2 linked regions of the Schizosaccharomyces pombe genome follow. The protein of the gene in region 2 purifies or fractionates together with the protein of the main gene of each other region. This does not show direct contact. Each region holds a gene or a part of one and is shown on either strand. Other genes may lie near its edges.

Evidence for each region.
Region 1: the proteins of mus7 (region 2) and mms1 purify together in Schizosaccharomyces pombe (affinity purification with western blotting; one study listed by BioGRID). This does not show direct contact.

What each region holds. Positions count from the first base shown.
Region 1 is NC_003424.3:591,959-600,228, reverse strand, and holds mms1 (E3 ubiquitin ligase complex subunit Mms1), read left to right. Parts: upstream 1-2,702; 5' UTR 2,703-2,951; coding exon 2,952-5,329; exon of another isoform or gene 5,330-5,369; coding exon 5,370-5,458; exon of another isoform or gene 5,459-5,497; coding exon 5,498-6,252; 3' UTR 6,253-6,328; downstream 6,329-8,270. Other genes in the region: inositol phosphorylceramide synthase Aur1, read right to left, coding at 45-1,313; SPOM_SPAC3H8.04 (chromosome segregation protein), read right to left, coding at 6,470-7,486.
Region 2 is NC_003424.3:2,406,503-2,416,427, forward strand, and holds mus7 (DNA repair protein Mus7/Mms22), read right to left. Parts: upstream 7,546-9,925; 5' UTR 7,469-7,545; coding exon 1,802-7,468; 3' UTR 1,634-1,801; downstream 1-1,633. Other genes in the region: SPOM_SPAC1B9.03C (ribosome biogenesis protein), read left to right, coding at 162-185, 244-303, 364-1,449; HbrB family protein involved in TOR signaling Bit2, read right to left, coding at 7,727-8,635; EKC/KEOPS complex subunit Gon7, read left to right, coding at 9,883-9,925. UniProt on the Schizosaccharomyces pombe protein: Involved in protection against replication-dependent DNA damage. May act by restoring active replication forks, repairing unusual DNA structures, and/or preventing aberrant DNA rearrangement at arrested replication forks.

The sequences.
Region 1 (8,270 bases), 1.8 Mb from region 2:
TGTATCATGTAGCTTTTGGAAATATATTCTTAAAGCACGTTGATTTAAGGAAGATGACTTGCATCAAAGATGGAGGAAGTGGTACTGGCAGGACGATCAATCAAATCAGCAGCAGGACTAGGTAACGGCTCAGGTGATGATGAACCCACGGACCATTCATGATCGGTGTTAGCAAGTTCCATATTGTTAAGACCACTCATGAAGGCTACTGCATTAGGGTTTTGAGTAAAAGAATCCCTTCCAAGTAAGTATGGGCTGCCGGTACGAGCCAAGGAGTTGCTGGTTTTTTCGGAAAGACCATGACCGTGGATAACAAACTCGTATTCCCAACGAAGGATTTTACCAGTTTGCAACTGTGGGAGGCGTAGCTTTTGAGCAAAAACGAAGCATATAATAGCTAAACACATACCGCCGACCAAATCTACAAAGTAGTGGTGGGTAAGGTACATAGTACACCAGCAAAGCCATAGAACATATCCATAAAAGCAGAAGCGGTATCGAGGAAACACATGCGAAAGGAAAAGTGCTTCCAGCATGGCCCATCCAGCGTGAAGAGATGGAAAGGCACCAAAAACAACCGGAGAGTTAGAAAAACCATCAGTGTAAATGCTAGTGCCGAAGAGAGCATCAATACGGGCCAATCCACCAGGAGAGCCACGTACTGCATACGTGGCAGGTTCTAAACCATACATATTTTCATACCAAGGAGGAGAACAGGGGAAAGCCATTTGGATAAGAACACCAAATAAATTCATATAACCAAAAGTTCGAGCCCAAACTGGAAGAGTTCCAGGAGGTGCAAAGATGAAAAGAATAAATGAAATGATAAAAGGAGCCGAATAATGCATGACTCCATATGGAACCCAGGCCAAAATATCAAGGATGCTATGCGTGGTTTTCGAGAGAAGACTAGAAAGATTAGAGCCATAAAGAATATTTTCAAGTGTGGGTAAAACACGAACCCATATGGGTGGACGCCAGCGTTCTGGAATAAACCTACAAGAGTAAAATAAAATTGCCCAGGTGATGATAACAATGGCAGGAAAAAAAATTTGGCGTGTTAAAGGAACGGTCAACGCAATGGCCAAAAGACAGGCAATGCCAAATTTCCCCCAGAATCCAGGAGATTCAATGACAATACAAGCAAAAATCAAATTACCTGCTAGAAACACATATTGCAAATGTGTCCATGACCATTTCGTATTGCGTAGCAAACGAAATGTAGGCATAGGGTTTAAGCTTGTTTCCAACTTGTATTGGGATGCTCGGTTACACGCAGCAAGGCGCTTTTTTAAGGTCGAAAGAGCAGACATTGCTTCAAAGAATTATCAGAGTAAAAAAGGGAAGCGTACGAAAAAAATTTCGTAAGGAATTAACCGGAAAACTAAAGGAAAAAAAAGGAATTTTTATGAAGGAAAGAAAGTAGCTATTAAATGCAAGTGTCAAGCACTTAAAAGTAGCGATGTAAAATATTTAAAAAAAGATGGACCGATTAACCAATGTTCAGCTCACAGTTGCCAGCAATCAGGGCTATTTTTTTATTTTTTTTATAAAATTGCTAATTATATATAATATAATTAGTTTATTAACTTGCTTTTCCTCAAAAAACCAATTCGAGAAAGGAACTTTTGCAGAGGCAAAAAAGCTTCTCCGAAAGAGATACTAGTTTAAAAACCTTTGGTTGCAAATACAAACCAAAATACTCCAATTTAACTATACAATTGGAGTTAGTCGATTTCAATTGCCCCGTATAAATGGTTCTTTAGAGGTTGGTAGTGGCGAGCTGAGAATGGTACGGTCGGCTAGTATTTGTTTAGGTTTGGCAAGTGGTGTTACTGTAGCGCAACACAAGATAGCCTAGCGAAAACAACGTTATTTCGAAACTCTAGGTAATTGGAAGATATTCCTTCTCAGGTAACACTATTCGGCAACGGCAGCCAATAAAATATTTGAAAGCTAAGACTCGTTATTAAACAATAAGACACTAAGCTCCATATATAATTACCGTATCCAAGTTTACTGCACGGAAATGAGAAAGCGGAAAGTAAATCAGAAACAATTTTAGCGAAATAAAATATGAATTTCGATATAATAAGATAAAAACATTGCGGTTGAGGGTAGTATCAGATGAAGCAAATATATTATTGTAACTAAATACCTTAAGCGCATCTAGGACACGTACTTAAGCATGGGTCTATATATTCAATAACTTAGCAATGTTACGAAATATTTAGGAGGAATAGTTTTATGCACTCTTTAATACTTCAAATTTTACTTCCGTCTATATCTGTTGAATTAAGCATTCAAAATGACAATTGACAACATTAAAACAATGTAAATCTATTTGGAAGTACTAATTTTTGTTTTCGATTTCTTAATTAGGAAAACAAAAAGTGCCTACTTGCATTTTCACAGCCTTTTTCTTTGGATTCTGAATGTATACATTAGCACCCTGTTGATAATTCTTTCACGTAGGTAAAAAAGACATCATTAAGCTATTGATTTTAAATGGCCGTAGAAAATTCAAACTGTCGTAGGTCAGACAACACTTCTCTAAAGATGAAACCAAATCGTATATTTGTTAACTAGAAATCAAAATCATATATCGCATATTAATTGTTATCTTAATTTTTGTGTTCCTTAGGTTCTCGAAATTCCAACGATGGATATTCTTACATACATTCAACACAACCCAACATATTAACTCGAACAAGCCATGGTTGGTTGTCAATAATCCTTTCACATTTGGAGGAACTCGTAAGGATCTATCTTCTAAATAAGGGCGTTATATATATTTAAACCTGTACATATCTATTTTCATTGATTTTAATGTTTTTTCCGTATTTGCTAATTTCTTTGATGCATACGATTAACTAATAGCTTTTTCTATTCTATCAAAATTTGACTCTAATCAAATTAAATTGGTTCCAAGCGTTTAACTTTGTGAATTCATGGCAGAAATTATTCATCATTCAAACGTATTCACCTGGGCTTTTCATGTTTCCGAATATGATGGTGCTCCTCTCCTTTTACTTGGATCTTTTTCCTCTGTAGCTTCTGTGAGTTTAAAGCGATCTGGTGATTTACTACTTTTTGAAAGATTCACGTTGCCTGCAAGAACGAGGTCTGTTGCTTTGTTATCAAGCCATTTCCTTCAGTCAGAATCAGGTAGACATTCAATAGCGAATATTTTAATTGCTACTGAAAACGGAAAATGCTACTTGTTGCAGCTCGTCAAAACACCAGAAAAAGCGTTTCCGACGATTCGTATTAGAGATGAATTCGTTCTTGATACTCGAATGTACAACCATGAACAATTAGGAAAATCAATTGATTTATGCCCAAATGCTTCCTTGTGGGCTACTAATTCTTTTGCTGGTGATATTGTATTTTTCTTTTCACATCATCCTTCCTTAAGCAAGCAAGTCTTCGCTCAACTTTCTATCGATGGAATAATACTTCATACCATATTTGTACCTCCAAAAAGATCCTCTTCGTCTTGTGTTACGTATGTTTGTCTTTTTCTAGATTCAAATTCGAATCCTAGAATCAATGTTTATAGGTGGTCTAAGACGGAAACCTTTTCTGATGCTAGTTCTTACATAACCTTCTCAATACCGGTTCCATCCGAATTTTCTCTTGCTTCCCATATTATCCCTTGCTCCAATATTCCTGATCATTTTTTAGTATTATTGGAGACAAAGATTTGTCTGCTTTCTGTCCCACAGATAGAATGTGGGGATCTAAAATTTTTACAGACCGATCTTCCATGCAGCGGTTCACATAATTATCCATTGTCTATTGCAAATGATAACGAAACTCCGAATTGTTGCTATTTAACCTACGAAAATGGAGATTTGTATCGCATTCGTTACTCTATTTTGTCTATTGATATTAATTTAATTGGAAAGACTGGATCTTCTTTAGGAAATTTGATACTACCTTGTTATCCATACATTGTTTTTTGTGGTGACTGTTCTGATACATTAGTGTATGATGTTTCGGTATCGCCTATGTCCTTTTTTGGTAGCTTAATTGCTTGCGCTCCAATGTGGGATTTTGTGTATTCCTCATCAAGGCATAACACTTTGTTGGATGAAGACATCAATTGTAATACAGTTTATGCTACTGCTGGCATTGGTAAATCTGGGTGTTTGGTCACAATGCGTTACGGGTGCTCATCCACTACTTTGCTTGAAGCAATATTAACTGAGGGAGCTGTTTTATCAGGAATTATAAATTCTAACCACAACTCTGAATTTTACGCTTGGCTAACTTATCCTTGGCAAACACAAATTTTAAGGCTTCATCTCGATGGGGTCGTCGAAGATGTTACCGAAAGTCTTTTTTTGGATGATATAAAAGCTTTATATGTTATAAATTACCAAAATACGTTTATCATTATTACGGGAAAATCCATTTATGCTGTTACTCCTAGTTGTACAAAGTATAACCTTCTTGAGGTTTCAGGAGATGAAGAATTTGTTTTGGCTGCTTATAACGAATTAATTTTCATCGTTAAAAAAGATTTAATGAATTTCAAAAGTCAATTGCTTACACTAAAACTAAATACTCTTTCTAATGGTACACTTGAACTTCAGTCGCTTCCGGATTCCTTCGATCTACACGATGTCCCTACTTGTATTACTTCCTTTTCTTTGGAAAGAAAGCTACTGGTGATACTGGTTCATCCTTCACCTTATTTTGAATGCGTTTTCTATGATGAAACCTCACACTCTAGTGTCTATAAAGTCCCCTTAACAGGTTTTCAATTTGGATACCTTCCTCATAGCATATCGTATTTGAGAAAATCAAACCGCGCTGTTTATGTATTGATTTCATCCAACTCTACTCTTTTAACCGTCTATGTAACTCTAACGTTAGAGGGAGTACCGGATTTTAAAGTTTACTCTAATCCTATTTCAACAGACTTACCACTCACGTTACAGTCACCCTCCGATGAGTTTTCAACAATTTATGCATGGTCTGACTATTTGTATATAGTGGGTATCGATATGGAAACTGAACAACCTACGCTGAACCAGATACTTGAAGTAAATGACAGTTTTACTTGTGTTTCTGGTATTTACGATATTCCAAATAAGTTCCAGAACAGTGAATCAAGAATCATAGTGTATTATTCGAATAATACTTTGTACCTATCGGAACTTTGGCTTCCACAGCGAACCTTTTCTTCAAAACTAAATCTTGCAGCAACTCCCAAGAGATTACTTGTTGATAAATATACGAACACTTTAATCATTGGATGTTGTCACGTTTTAGTAAATGAAATTACAACCTCAGGTCTTGCTTTTTACGACTTGACTAAGTGAGTTACGTGTTTCTAGTGCCTACTAACAATTACACAGCTCGCGACTTTTCCCTGTCAATTGGCCTTCAATGGATATTAAAGGTAAACCAATATTCAAACCGGAGGAATTATTATATTCTATGTCTTGTAAGTTAGCTTTACTTTAATCACCTAACGATTATTTAGTTTGGATTGTAGCCGACGATCAAAAAAGAAAATATAGGTACCTTTGTATAGGAACAGGGGTACGAAAAAACGGATTAACTACAGGTCGTTTGTTAATTCTTACCATGAATAAAGATCATGACAGCAATGCTATAGAACTTCGCAATGTCATCACAATTAATATGAAAGACCCTATTTATTCCGTTTGTTCGATCGGAAAACATGGATTGTGTTATGCAACAGGACGAAAGATTGGTGTAAAGATGTTGGACTTAGACTCAAAGAAGTTTTGCAACAGTGATTGTGAGTTACCTGTTCGGTCTCCCATTGTATCGATGTCAACGTATAAGGACTATGTGTACACTTCTAGTTTAAGAGATTCTGTTGCCGTGTTCCAGTATGATAGTGAAAACAACTCCCTTAATTTAGTTTGCAGCGACACATCATCGAGACTAGGCATTGATTGCTTTTACATTTCACAAAAAAAATTATTGTTTTCTTGTGACAAAGACCGGTTATTAACTTGTTTCAAAGTTGAGGGTGAAGTTTGCACGTCTACCAGAGAACAAATGCTCCAGCCAATTCTTACTACAGTGTCTCAAACAAAAACAAATGCCTTAACTAACCATTTAAAGTATTCAGTTATTCGGGTGGATAAAGATAATCATAATATTGTTTGGGGATTGATGGGTTGTACTTTAGATGGGAATATCTTCAAGATCTTAATGCCTAACGATCCGACTTCGTCGGATACAATTATCTATTCTGATACTTAATGTTATCACACATTAGAAATTCCAATTTACAACAATAAATTTATCAGAGCAATACTAATGAACAATTTTTGGATGGTTTTAAATGACGTAGATAAGCAAAGAGTATAATATTAAATTAATTTAATATAAACTTGGAACGCATGAATGTTAATTTTCATTAAAAAAGAGTTATATAAGTCAATAAATCTTTACATGTCAGCAGTAAAAAGTTGGCTAGCTATCGACAACTTTCTGACAGCAGTGTTTCATTCACAATCTTCGTGTTCCCATATAACCCGCCTAAAGATTGCTGGACAAAAATAATTCTTTGAGAGTCATAAAGGTAATGGTGTCCTGCAGAAGTGCAAATAATTTGTAACTGTAATCCAAACTTTAAATGACTTAAAATTTTCCCACTTTTATCGTCTAGTTGCTGAAGATAATGTTTCTGGCGAATCCAGGTTTTAGAGCAATCAACCATACTTGAAACATTATAAGGCACCAAAAAAACTTTAATGACTAAACCGTTAGTTTGTCGAAGTATTAGTTGTAATTGCCCAACTGATGGAATTCTATATCCGAATGGATAGCCTTTATTCATGACTTTGTCGCTTTTTTGACTTCTCAGTCGAAATCGACCGATATAAGGAAATTGCACATTATCAACATTTCCAACGAGTGAGTAAGCCACAAAATTTATTTTTAAATGTGGCGGGAAAACAAGTGAAGGCTTGCATCGGCAAAACGAAATAACCCCAATTTCTATGGAAAACTCAAAAGGTACTGATGAACAGTAAGGCATGTGACCACTAAACAAACTCTCCTCGTATGATCCTATAAAACCACTCCTTTGAAAGCAGTTCTTCAATGAATAGGTATTTATACCTTTGGCGTTAAGAGAATGTTCAGCAGAAGCATCAATTGGTTGTTGTTGAGTTATATAATCACCAGACAATAATTTATTACAACGACATGAACATCTCGTGAACAGATGAGGCCCATTTGAAGGTTTAACAGATTTCTCATTGTTAAAAATTTCGAATTTCAATGGAGAATTACAGAGAAAGTGGTTGTTCGCCTTACTATTACCAGGAAAGTTTGAAAAAAAGTCTTTCATCTGACTTATCGATTTCAAATTCATCCATTCTTGTTCGATTGGAAAACTCCTGCTAGTAGAGAACAAGTTTCGAATATTTTTGTATAGCAATTCATTATTTTCAAGAGACGTTGATGTCGCACAATAACAAGCTGGCATTAATAAAAAAGAAAAAGAAAAGGAATAAAAGGCTTTCGATAATCGAATACAAATGAATGCGGTTTGTTCGCATTCAAGGAAAGTAAGGTATTAATGTCAAGAAAAAACAAAACAAAAAATTCAACACGGAAATAAAGTGCCTTATATCGTGTCAATGCTTAACCACTTTTTGATAAACGAAAAAAAAATAACAAAAAAAACAGAAAATCATTAAATCATGGATAACCGTAAGTATTTTTCGAGAAAGCCTCAGTTCACTAAAGAAAATATAATTCCCAACATTAAGAGTTATTCAGCTTATAATCACCAATAAAAAAGGGATAAACTACAAGGAATTTTCTTCTCGTGAATAATTAATTCATAAGCAAATTGTAAATCAACGTCTTCAGAACAAAGCAAAAATTTTAAAAGCTAAAAATGTTTGTCAAAATATTCCTATCACAGACAAATCCAAGTTCAATTCAAAAATAATGAAAAAGTCGTTGAGATTTCAGGATTATAAGTATGTGTGAAGGGAAAGGTAAAGAACAGTCCATGGGCGTATGACGCAGATATATAGATTATGTTTGAAGGTATGTTTTCGATATAGCATTTAATATTTGTCAATTTACAAACTATACAATATTGAGAAAAGAATTTTTAATTTAGTTATATACCCTAATAGCCTTAAACGTATTCTGTCTATAACTACAGTCAAAAAATAAAAACACCGGAGTTTCGATATATATATTATAATTTCCTTTAAGCGTTTATAAATTCAACAAAACAAACGAATAGGTAGCAA
Region 2 (9,925 bases):
ATTATGTTCACAGCATGTAAATGAGATATGTTAAAATAGAAAATTCAGCTTTCAAAAAAATAATGTCTATTGCCATCTTTATTGTCATGTTGGCGGAAATGAACTTTGCATATTGGTGTTCTTGAGAGTGTACAATTTTTTTTAACTACCAACCACAAAGAATGGGAGGCATTGGTAAAAAACGGGTATGTTGAGAATGGATAGTTTAAAAGAAATACTTTATTTAAACTAATTTAATTATAGGTAAAAAAGAGGACGCATTTGAAAGCTGATCCTATACAAGAAGCAGCAATTCCTAAATCGGTATGTGCAATTTTGTAAAATTGTAAAATTTTTTAGTCCCTTTGCTAATTCTTATTTAAGATGGTAATTCGATCGGGCGCTTCTGAAGTAGGTAGAAGCTTATCTTTGCTTACTCGAGATCTTCGACATATGATGGAACCACATACAGCTATTCGATTAAAGGAGCGTAAAGCTAATAAAATAAAAGATTACTTGACTATGGCTGGACCTCTTGGAGTTACACATCTTCTTGTCCTCTCTCGCACTGACAACAATGCGAACTTGAGAATCATTAGGGCTCCTAGAGGTCCCTCATTACATTTTAGGATTCATGAGTATATGCTGAACAAAGATGTTCGAAGACTTCAAAAAAATCCTAAATCTCCAACAACAGAGTTCCTTACTCCTCCACTTTTGGTCATGAATCATTTTAATCAAAATTCGTCAAAAGACTCTCCCCATGAAGCTTTGCTAACGACTACATTTCAAAATATGTTTCCTCCAATTTCAGTCCAACATACCAACATTAATAGTGTTAAACGGGTTCTGTTATTAAACCGCCGCGACGATGGTTATATCGACCTTCGTCATTTCATAATTAGCACGAAGCCTGTGGGTATTTCTCGCCCTATAAGACATCTGTTGAAAGGTGAAAAAAAGGACTCTGATATCCCTGATTTACACAATGTTCGTGATATTTCGGATTATGTTTTACATGGTGATGGTATTTCTGGTGCAGCAAGTGACTCAGAAATCGAAGAGGATGCAACCGTAGAGATTGATCGTCCTGTACCGACTAAAACTGAAGAGAATCTACTATCGGCATCTCAACTATTAAAACCTAAGCAACAGGCAATTAAGTTAATTGAAATAGGCCCTAGGATGACATTGGAATTGATCAAGATTACTGAAGATGCGATGGGAGGAAAGGTACTTTATCACAGTCATGTCCATAAATCTAAAGAGGAAATAAAGCAACAAGATAATTTTCACGAACAGAGTCGCGCGTTAAAAGAAAAAAGAAAGAAAGAGCAAGACGAAAATGTCAGGAGGAAACGTGAAAATAAGAAAAGAAGAAAAGACCAGAAAAAAGAAGGTATTACTTCTTCGAACAAAAATGATGACAGCGGAAATGAAGGGTCATCTGCTTATTCTGATACAGAATAATATATTTGGATTTTGGGTTTTATCTTAGGTTAGAAGTATTTTTGATCAGATGGCTTATAATAGAAATACATTATATTTTACTGGTCAAATTAGACCACAGTCATGTGATAATAAAATTACGTACATTAATGGATGTACTAGTAGCAAAAAAAAAGAGCTCTAAGCAAAAGAAATATGCAGAACTGGATTATTTCATTGTCTAATTATTTTGTATACAACAAGAGATAATTAATAAATGAGTTTGTGTATTACACAGACATCAAATGAAATATTAAAAATAAATAAAATAAATAAAATAAACAACGTGGAAACCAAAAGCAACCACAACTGAAAAATCTTTTAATTTTGGCTTTTAAAACAATACAATATCAAAATCATTCTCTTCAGTCATCCAAGAATAGCCGATTTTATCCAAAAAGCATTTGATTTTTGTCGGTAACCCACTCATGTCAGGTGCATAACTGCAAATTACATTGAGAAACCTATCTAATTCAGGCTCTAAAAAACCTTTATCGTGTTTCCATATTTGAATAGTAACTTCCATTAAACCTGACCAGTATTCTTCTTCCTGTTCCACCTGAGAAGGCAAAACTAGTTTTTTCTTCCTAGACTTATGTACAATATTGGTAACGTTGTCGTACCAATCCGCTGAGCAATGTTGCTGAATAGTTTTAACAAATTTGCTACGACAATCAACAGTATTGTAAGGAGGGGGAAACTCAGACCCTTCAATATTCCAACATAATTCAAGAAGGAAGTCTCGAGCTATGCGAGCTAAAAAATTCTGTAAGTTACATATTAAACTAGATGGCAATCCACTGGTTTTGTTTGTCATGCTTATAGCCACAAATGAAGAAATAAGGTAATATATTCTCCCAGAAAGTAAAGGGCGTTTGTTTTCATATAATAAAGCATATTTCTCTAAATCAGCCACAAAAACAGAAATTTCTTCACACAGTAACTGTTGAATGTAAGGTTGCAAATATATACGTCTAAAGCTGTTGTAAGTTCGGCTTAGACCCTCCAGTAGTAACAATGAATAAAACATAGCTGCTAACGAGCCTTCACCAAGGTAACTCAATAAAAGTTCCTTTACACAAAATTTCCGAAGAGAAGAAATCTCGACATCCCATTTGCTGGAGCTATTTTGATTATGGAATCCCATAGCCAGCCTTAAAAGATTAGAAGTTTCAGTTTGCTTTTGTTCTAGCAGAGCAACATCAAAATTTGCTTTTAGGAAACTAAACAAAGCATTTTGAGAAGCTGAATTTGTGAGAGTTTTTCTCGCATAACTTCGTAACCTCAAGGCCGTATATTCGAGACGCTCCGGTGGTTGGGGGAACTTAGTTGAGTCCATAAAATATCTGAGGGCAGGAAGGTTACGATCATTTGCAAATTGACTACAATACTGTAAAATGTCTCCGACAACACGTTGTGAATTAATAACAAACAAAGAGTGAGTATCAGAAGAATGACCATTTGTCTCATAACTATGCTGCATAGAAGACAGTAGAGAGGATAGGTAATGAATAAACAAGCTCTGTAAATATTGAGAGCTCGCGAAACCATTTGTCTTGGCATCAGCATACAGTTTTGCCATGTTGCAAAACACAGCTGTTAATAAATTCAAGTGAACCGACTTAAAGTAATTTATACTAATTTCCTCAATTTTGACGGATATCGGTAAATTAAGCAAAATAGGATTTTTTAGGTTTTTCTGTAATAACAAAATCGTAAATTGTGCAGCATGATCCTCATCTAAAGCGCCCAGTGATTCAAACCATACAGTTAAGACTTTTTCCTCATGTTTTTTAATAAAAGAATCATTATAAGATATAAGGAAGGAATAAAACGTGGTACTGAGAGATCTTTTCAAAGGAGTGTTACGAATCCTTTCCCAAGACTCAGACCCAAAATCGATATAGTAACTCCAGTCATTGATTTTCGCTTCTACAGCAAAACTAGCACAAATTGCCATGCACTCCATTAATGGTAAAAGTAAAATACGAATATAATTTTCTTTGTCCTCGTCATTTCCAACGAGATAAGATATCGTTTGATACAAAAAGGGTGAAACAAATGTTCTCAATATTTGAGCCACTTCGTATTTACGTTCAAACTTTTCTTGTTCTAAAATGAGTGTGTTATCATCCAGCACATCAGAATCAAAGTAAGCATCTTGACTATCATGCGAAGTGCTACCAACAACGGTAACCTTAGGTGGCTCTGTATTAGATTGATACTGCAAAAACTTTTTTAGAAATAAAATACACTCCAGAGTAACGCGAGGAGGAAAAAAATGAGAGTCTTTAAGAATGCGCCGGCATGACTGCTCCGTCACCAAAACGTTTATCCTACTAATATAAACTGAAGAATTGGGAATTAAATCTTGAAGGGAATGGAAAGCTACAATTAGCGCATTTTCAAGTTGATGTTTCGAGTATTCAGCCAATTGCATCTCACCAACAGAAGTTCCATTTGAAAAGAGAGCAAGATATTCATCAAATGTAACTTTTAAAATGGAATTAAACCACTCCATTCCCTGAGCGAGTTCATAATCAGTTCCCTCTTTTATCACATACTTCATTAGGTGAAGCCATGCTTTTAGACTAATTAAACGTGCCTTAAGATGAGAATTATCGACGATTACAATATCCCTAATGCGATTTAAACTGGGCCTACAATTCTCGGGTGCTGCCCAATAAAGACAAATAAGAAGAGTGTGAGTATGTTCCAAAGACATAAAGTCCTTAATTGAGAATGGACTTTCTCGCGTGTATTGACGTGAATGTAAGGGCTGTAATCTGGATACTATCCTCTTGATTGAATTTGTATTTTCATCTACTTGCCTCAAACGGCTTATAGAAATTAAAATAACTTTTAAATAAATTACAAAACATGTATCAAGAGCAGTTACATGAAGATTTGGAGGTCTGTCAAGTGACTTAACAAAATCAGGAAAGTCAGTTGGTGTATCTTCAGATATTTCAGAAGAAAGGTCATTAAACTTTCTATGGCTAAAGAAATCGAATATCAAAAATAGGATTTGAGCCACATCCTCCCAACGCCATTCAGATATGAGAAAATGAATTCGAAGAAACACTGTGCGAAGGTATCGCTCAACCACTTTAACATTGTGTCCGTCCTTATGCATTTTAAATGCACTTTCTGAAACTCTGATTATCAGTGGCCAAAAACTATTGTTTCCTGGTGAATGAGTCGTTCCATTAAGCCCAATTTGGAAAACGGGATTGAGCGTCATTATAACATACCAAATTTTTTCCATTTCTAATATAGACAACTCCTTTTTTTGAAGATCAAAAAATGAATTCACCTGTTCCCACAAAGCATATTTCTTCTTATATACATGAAAAAGAATATGATTTAAAATTGACCAAGATTCCAAAAAAAGAGTGTCAATTACAGTCGTATCTGAAGCTTGAATTCTCAAATTCCGATAACATTCCAATAGACCAGATTGACCAGCAGAAAGAAGTTTTGAAATCAAATCACTTGCCAGCCAGGAAACTTTATTAATGTTTTGCTGATTTCCAAGTTCAAATTCACAATAAAATACAACTTGAAAAGTTTGAAACAACACAGCTATTTTTTCAACCAATTGTGATCTATTCAACCCCGATATAGAAGAAACACGATCATTGACTAATGCATAGGTTTCTAAAAAGGAGGAAGCCAAGTTAACCAAGCCCATTGATACTTGAGAATGAAGAATAAACGCAGAGCAAAAAGAAAGTAGATTGTACAAGTCAACAGTTTCAGAGTTTGTAAAGTATGGAAGATTTTCTAAGACTGTCTCAAAAGTGTCTTTTAATTTTTCGAATGTTTTAAAAACATCATCCTGGATATTGAATAAACAAGAAAAAGCATAAACAGACTTAAAAGGATGTGTGACGATGTCCAATTGAAGAATAGAATTTAACCCTTGGGTTTTTATAAAGGAGTTGTTGGGCAAACTAAGTCCCGGTCTAAAAGTTATGACATTAAATGTAGTAGACCAAATACCTATATTCCAAAAAGGATTTACATCTGTAAAATAATTAGGGTTTGAAGAGGATTGAAAAAAGACGGTGTCAAAATCGTCTCGTATAAATCGTTGAGCCTTCTGCTTTCTTGAAGACTTGCGGATCTCAGTATTTACTTGGGGTACAGCTAAAGTCCCCTCATAACAATCATGTTCTCTTTCCTTTGAGTTTAATTCAATATTGTCCCTAATGTAATGGTCTAATTTGGCAACTTTTTGGCATTTGTCATGTACTGTATGAGTCCTTTTTAACTTTTTGGATTTTTTGTATGAAACGTTATTAGAAAAAAGAGAAGAAAATAGCTTTCTTTTTTTTAAGAGTTCCTCGCTAAAATTTTGAAGATGACTCAAACCGTTATTTGCTGCTGTTTTAGCGTTAATATTTACACTATGCTTTTTAGAATTAACAGAAAAAATATTTCCACCAACTGACTTAGAATCTGAAGGCTTTTTGTAAGAATGAGATTGTTGAACAAGCTCATGTTTACCTGAATACCAATCAGAAAGAACTTGATCAATAACTTGGCGATCGGATTCTTTGTCGAAGGAAAAATACTTTTTGGAATCCATTTGTCTTTTTCTTCTAATCATTTTTGGAATATGAGATGAACTTCGAGCAAACACCCTCAAAAACTTTGGCGCCTTTTTCCCATACGATTCAAGGATAAGGTCTGGTAATTTTTCCACTTCGACATATTTAAATCTATTTTTTTTCATTTTGGTTTTAGTTGTGCGATAGACAGGAATAGTAGAAACAGCATTGGCTGCTACATTTAGCTGAAAGGGGTTTTCCGACGTCAAAGAACTTGATTTTTTAAGAGCGGATAAACTTCTTTTAGGAAGCCATAATTGATCAACCACATCTTCTTTCAACCAGCCATTATCACGAGAAATTGAATCTAAAAACTCGCTGGTGTCAAACCGTGAATCATCAGTTGGTGTTGGCGTAGAAATGCTATTGTCAGAATCCGATATTTCGTTTCCTAATTCACTAGATAGTTTAGCTGTCGATCTAGGATGCAACTTCCGTCGAGCCACACCTTTTATTTTTTCTCCCTCAATAACACTCTTGTGTAATGATGTCTTTTTTTTGACACCTCTATTTTCCAATTTTTTTTTTTCTTGAAGAGTTAGAAATGATGGTGGTAAAACTCCTCGTAATCTTTTCTTTAAAGTTTTCAAATTCAGATCACTCACAGTAGAATTCGATGAGATATTTGTCATAGACTGATCCGAATCGGAAAGTAAAGACTCAGATTCTAAAGCCTCTTTGCTAGTTGAGGTTTTCTTTCCTTCAATAGTAGACGACAATGCGAGGTCATTGTCAGCTGTATTCAGATTAGATTCCTTTGAATGATCTTGCTCAGTATTAGACTCATCATCATCGCTATCAGATATTACAGCTCCATACCTTCTAAAGCGATGAGTAGAGGTCAAGGGTGGTTTACGTGAAGAAGCACGATTACGAACTATAACATTTACAGGTTTATGAGAGGACTTAGAAGTAATAGATCGATCAGAAGAAAAACCATGCGGTACGGTGATGGGTACCAAGCCTATTCTTTTAAACTCTATTTGATGCCTTAAGAAATCGTAAGTATAAGGCCGGGTTTGCTCAGGACGTCTAGGGCGAAAATCTCTTTTAACAACAACCGCTTCGTGTTCGGCATCTTTTTTAAAAACCTCAGTTCGTTTGTTTTCTTCTTCCCTCTTTGTTTCAGCTAAATTTTGATCACTTTTTTCAAAAGAAACATTCCTATTCAATTCGGGCAATGAAGACACCGATGACTTTGTAGAACCGATGGTGGTTTCATTGTTCAGAATTTCTAGCTTATTTTGATTTTTTTCTTTAGTAGCCGGCGTAATTCCATCGTATTCATTTCCACGTTGTGAAATTAAAGACCCATGAGTATTTGACCATTCACTTCCAGAATCCTGAGAGTCAGACACATGGTCAAGTAAAAGGAAACTATTCATCCTACAAACCCATGGGAAAGATGGTATTACATAAGAGGGCTTAGAAGAGTTCTTTCGATTTTAAAAAGTGTCTATATGGAGGTCCTGTTGCATACTCCAGTTAGCAAAATAGAAACACCATTGAGTAACAAGGAATAGGTAACATTATTAAATACCTAACAAAAGCCGCAAATATTAAAAGATAAATTGCTTAAATGGGCTTTAAAAACAAATATTGAAAGTATAAAAAGTCTATCTTCTATTAAAACATATTAAATTTCAGACATATAAAAATTTTAAAGTCAGTTCGTTTAGCCAGTTCATTAGAAGATCTTCGGATTCATCTTGTGGCTTTATGAGAGAAATAATGGAAATCATCTGGACGAGTAAAATCTGCTGCTGAGTATTCAATTGAGGAATTTCAATGAATCGATTTGTCTTTTTCAGCTTTGGCATTACAACAAATTTACGAAACACCCAAATAGAAAACAGTTTCAAATCTATATTAGCACTCTTTTTTAACCAGTACGTTTTCATGGGCTCTTCAAATAATTGAGCAATCTCAAATTTTGCAAAAGTAACAGGCAAAAACGTAGCTTCGATATACGGCAATATTTCTAAATAAAAAATCGACCACACCTCAACAAGATAGTGTAGAAAGGAAGACTCATTGCTATTCATACCCAGCAATGAAATGTCAATTATCAGTCCAATTCGCATATTTCCCAAAAGCTCTTCAAAATCGCTTATTGCTTCGCAAGCGCATATACACCGCAGCACTAAAAAATTTAAATCTTCGATAATAACCTTTTTTTTCCAATTCTTCTTATCCTGTTCGGTGTAACGATGTTGCGGAAATATTGGTCTCATAGCAATGTTTAATTGTTTCCACGCTACCAACACAGTTAGCGGTCTTAGTTTATCAATTGCAGTTAATCGATGCGACATTTTATATCGCTTGAGAATAGAGAGTTTTCCCTTGTCAATAGATGGATGAGAGACTAGAGATCCATTAGAAACGATTGAAGCATCAGATATCGTCTTCCTTCTTTTTTTTTTAGACTTTACCGAATCTAAGTTAGATGTAGTGGTTCGATTTTCATCATTGTGAAACAAAAAAAAACAAGGGCATTGAACTTTGATAGTCGTTAACCCTAAATAAATTTTCCATTTATCCCTCAATTTCATTTCTAGCTTTTTTAAATATTAGACAATGGTAGATTTTAAAAGTTGAAATTCGTTGTTTGCATTTCTGTATCGCAGGCGTAAGTTACGTCAATAGATTCAATTACTCTATAAAAAATAAGCTTAATTTAACGAACTTGACAAAGGCTATATTTAATAACATGCGTCACGCACACTAAATAAATAATACAAAATATGAAACAGTATCACGTTAATTTTCGGATTTCTATTTTTCCAAGGTCCATTGTCGATGACTAAGTTTCTTTATTTCATGAACTTTTTTTTAAAGCCAATTTGAGCATATGCTACACCAAAAAAATGTGTATGGTCGATTTCCATGGCTCAAAGTTGTGAATATATTCATCGCTTTTGTAATACCTGCAATTCTACTATATGTTATGCTACATTATGCTTGTCTATCGCTAAATATCATATGTTAGAATATTAGCTAAGGTGTTTTTATTGGTAATTGAGAATAACTATTCTGTATACAAAAATACCCGCTGGTAACATCTATTAGATAATTACGAATAGAAGCTATAACTGAACTGAGGAACGAGGTTCAGCTGTAGGCAATATTAGTGATGGCTAAAAATGTAATCATATAGAATACTAATAACAAGTTGCTACTTACATTACCAGTATAGTGCAATATAATAGATAACAAGGAGATTTCGACGTAATCCAACGTATCGTTACAACAGATAACAAACTGCGTAGCTGATATAGGAATCCTAATAATATTTTATTCTTGGTATATTTAATAAATAATGTTGAGATGCTAAATCAACAATTCAATGAAGCCATCAATTGTCACAAAGCGTTTAATGCATTTTTAATTATTCATATTTGGTGCTCAATAAGTTTACTAAGCCTTGATGATTTAACAAAAGATTATTGCATACCTGTGCTATCAAAGCCCAATAGTATTTGCTAGTAGACTAGGAGACTTTGGTATAAGATAGTAGTGCTTTAAGAAGTACCTCTAACTAGCAACGCAAAGCCGATAATAACGTGAGTAAATTTTAAAGAACGTTGTTTAAAGTACTATATATTGACAACATATCATATCTATCCTTTACAAAAACTGTGCGGATAAAAAACGATAGTTTATTCCATCCGAAGCTTTTGCATAATATCTATCTTTTTTTTCAATTAATATTGTTGCGGAAATCCTGTTTTTCTGTTTTAATTAATTTCTTCTCTTTTTTTTCTTTTTTTTTTTTTATATACAAATAAAAGTTAAAGCAATGAACAATCTTGAACTAACGTATAAATGCGAAACAGATACTA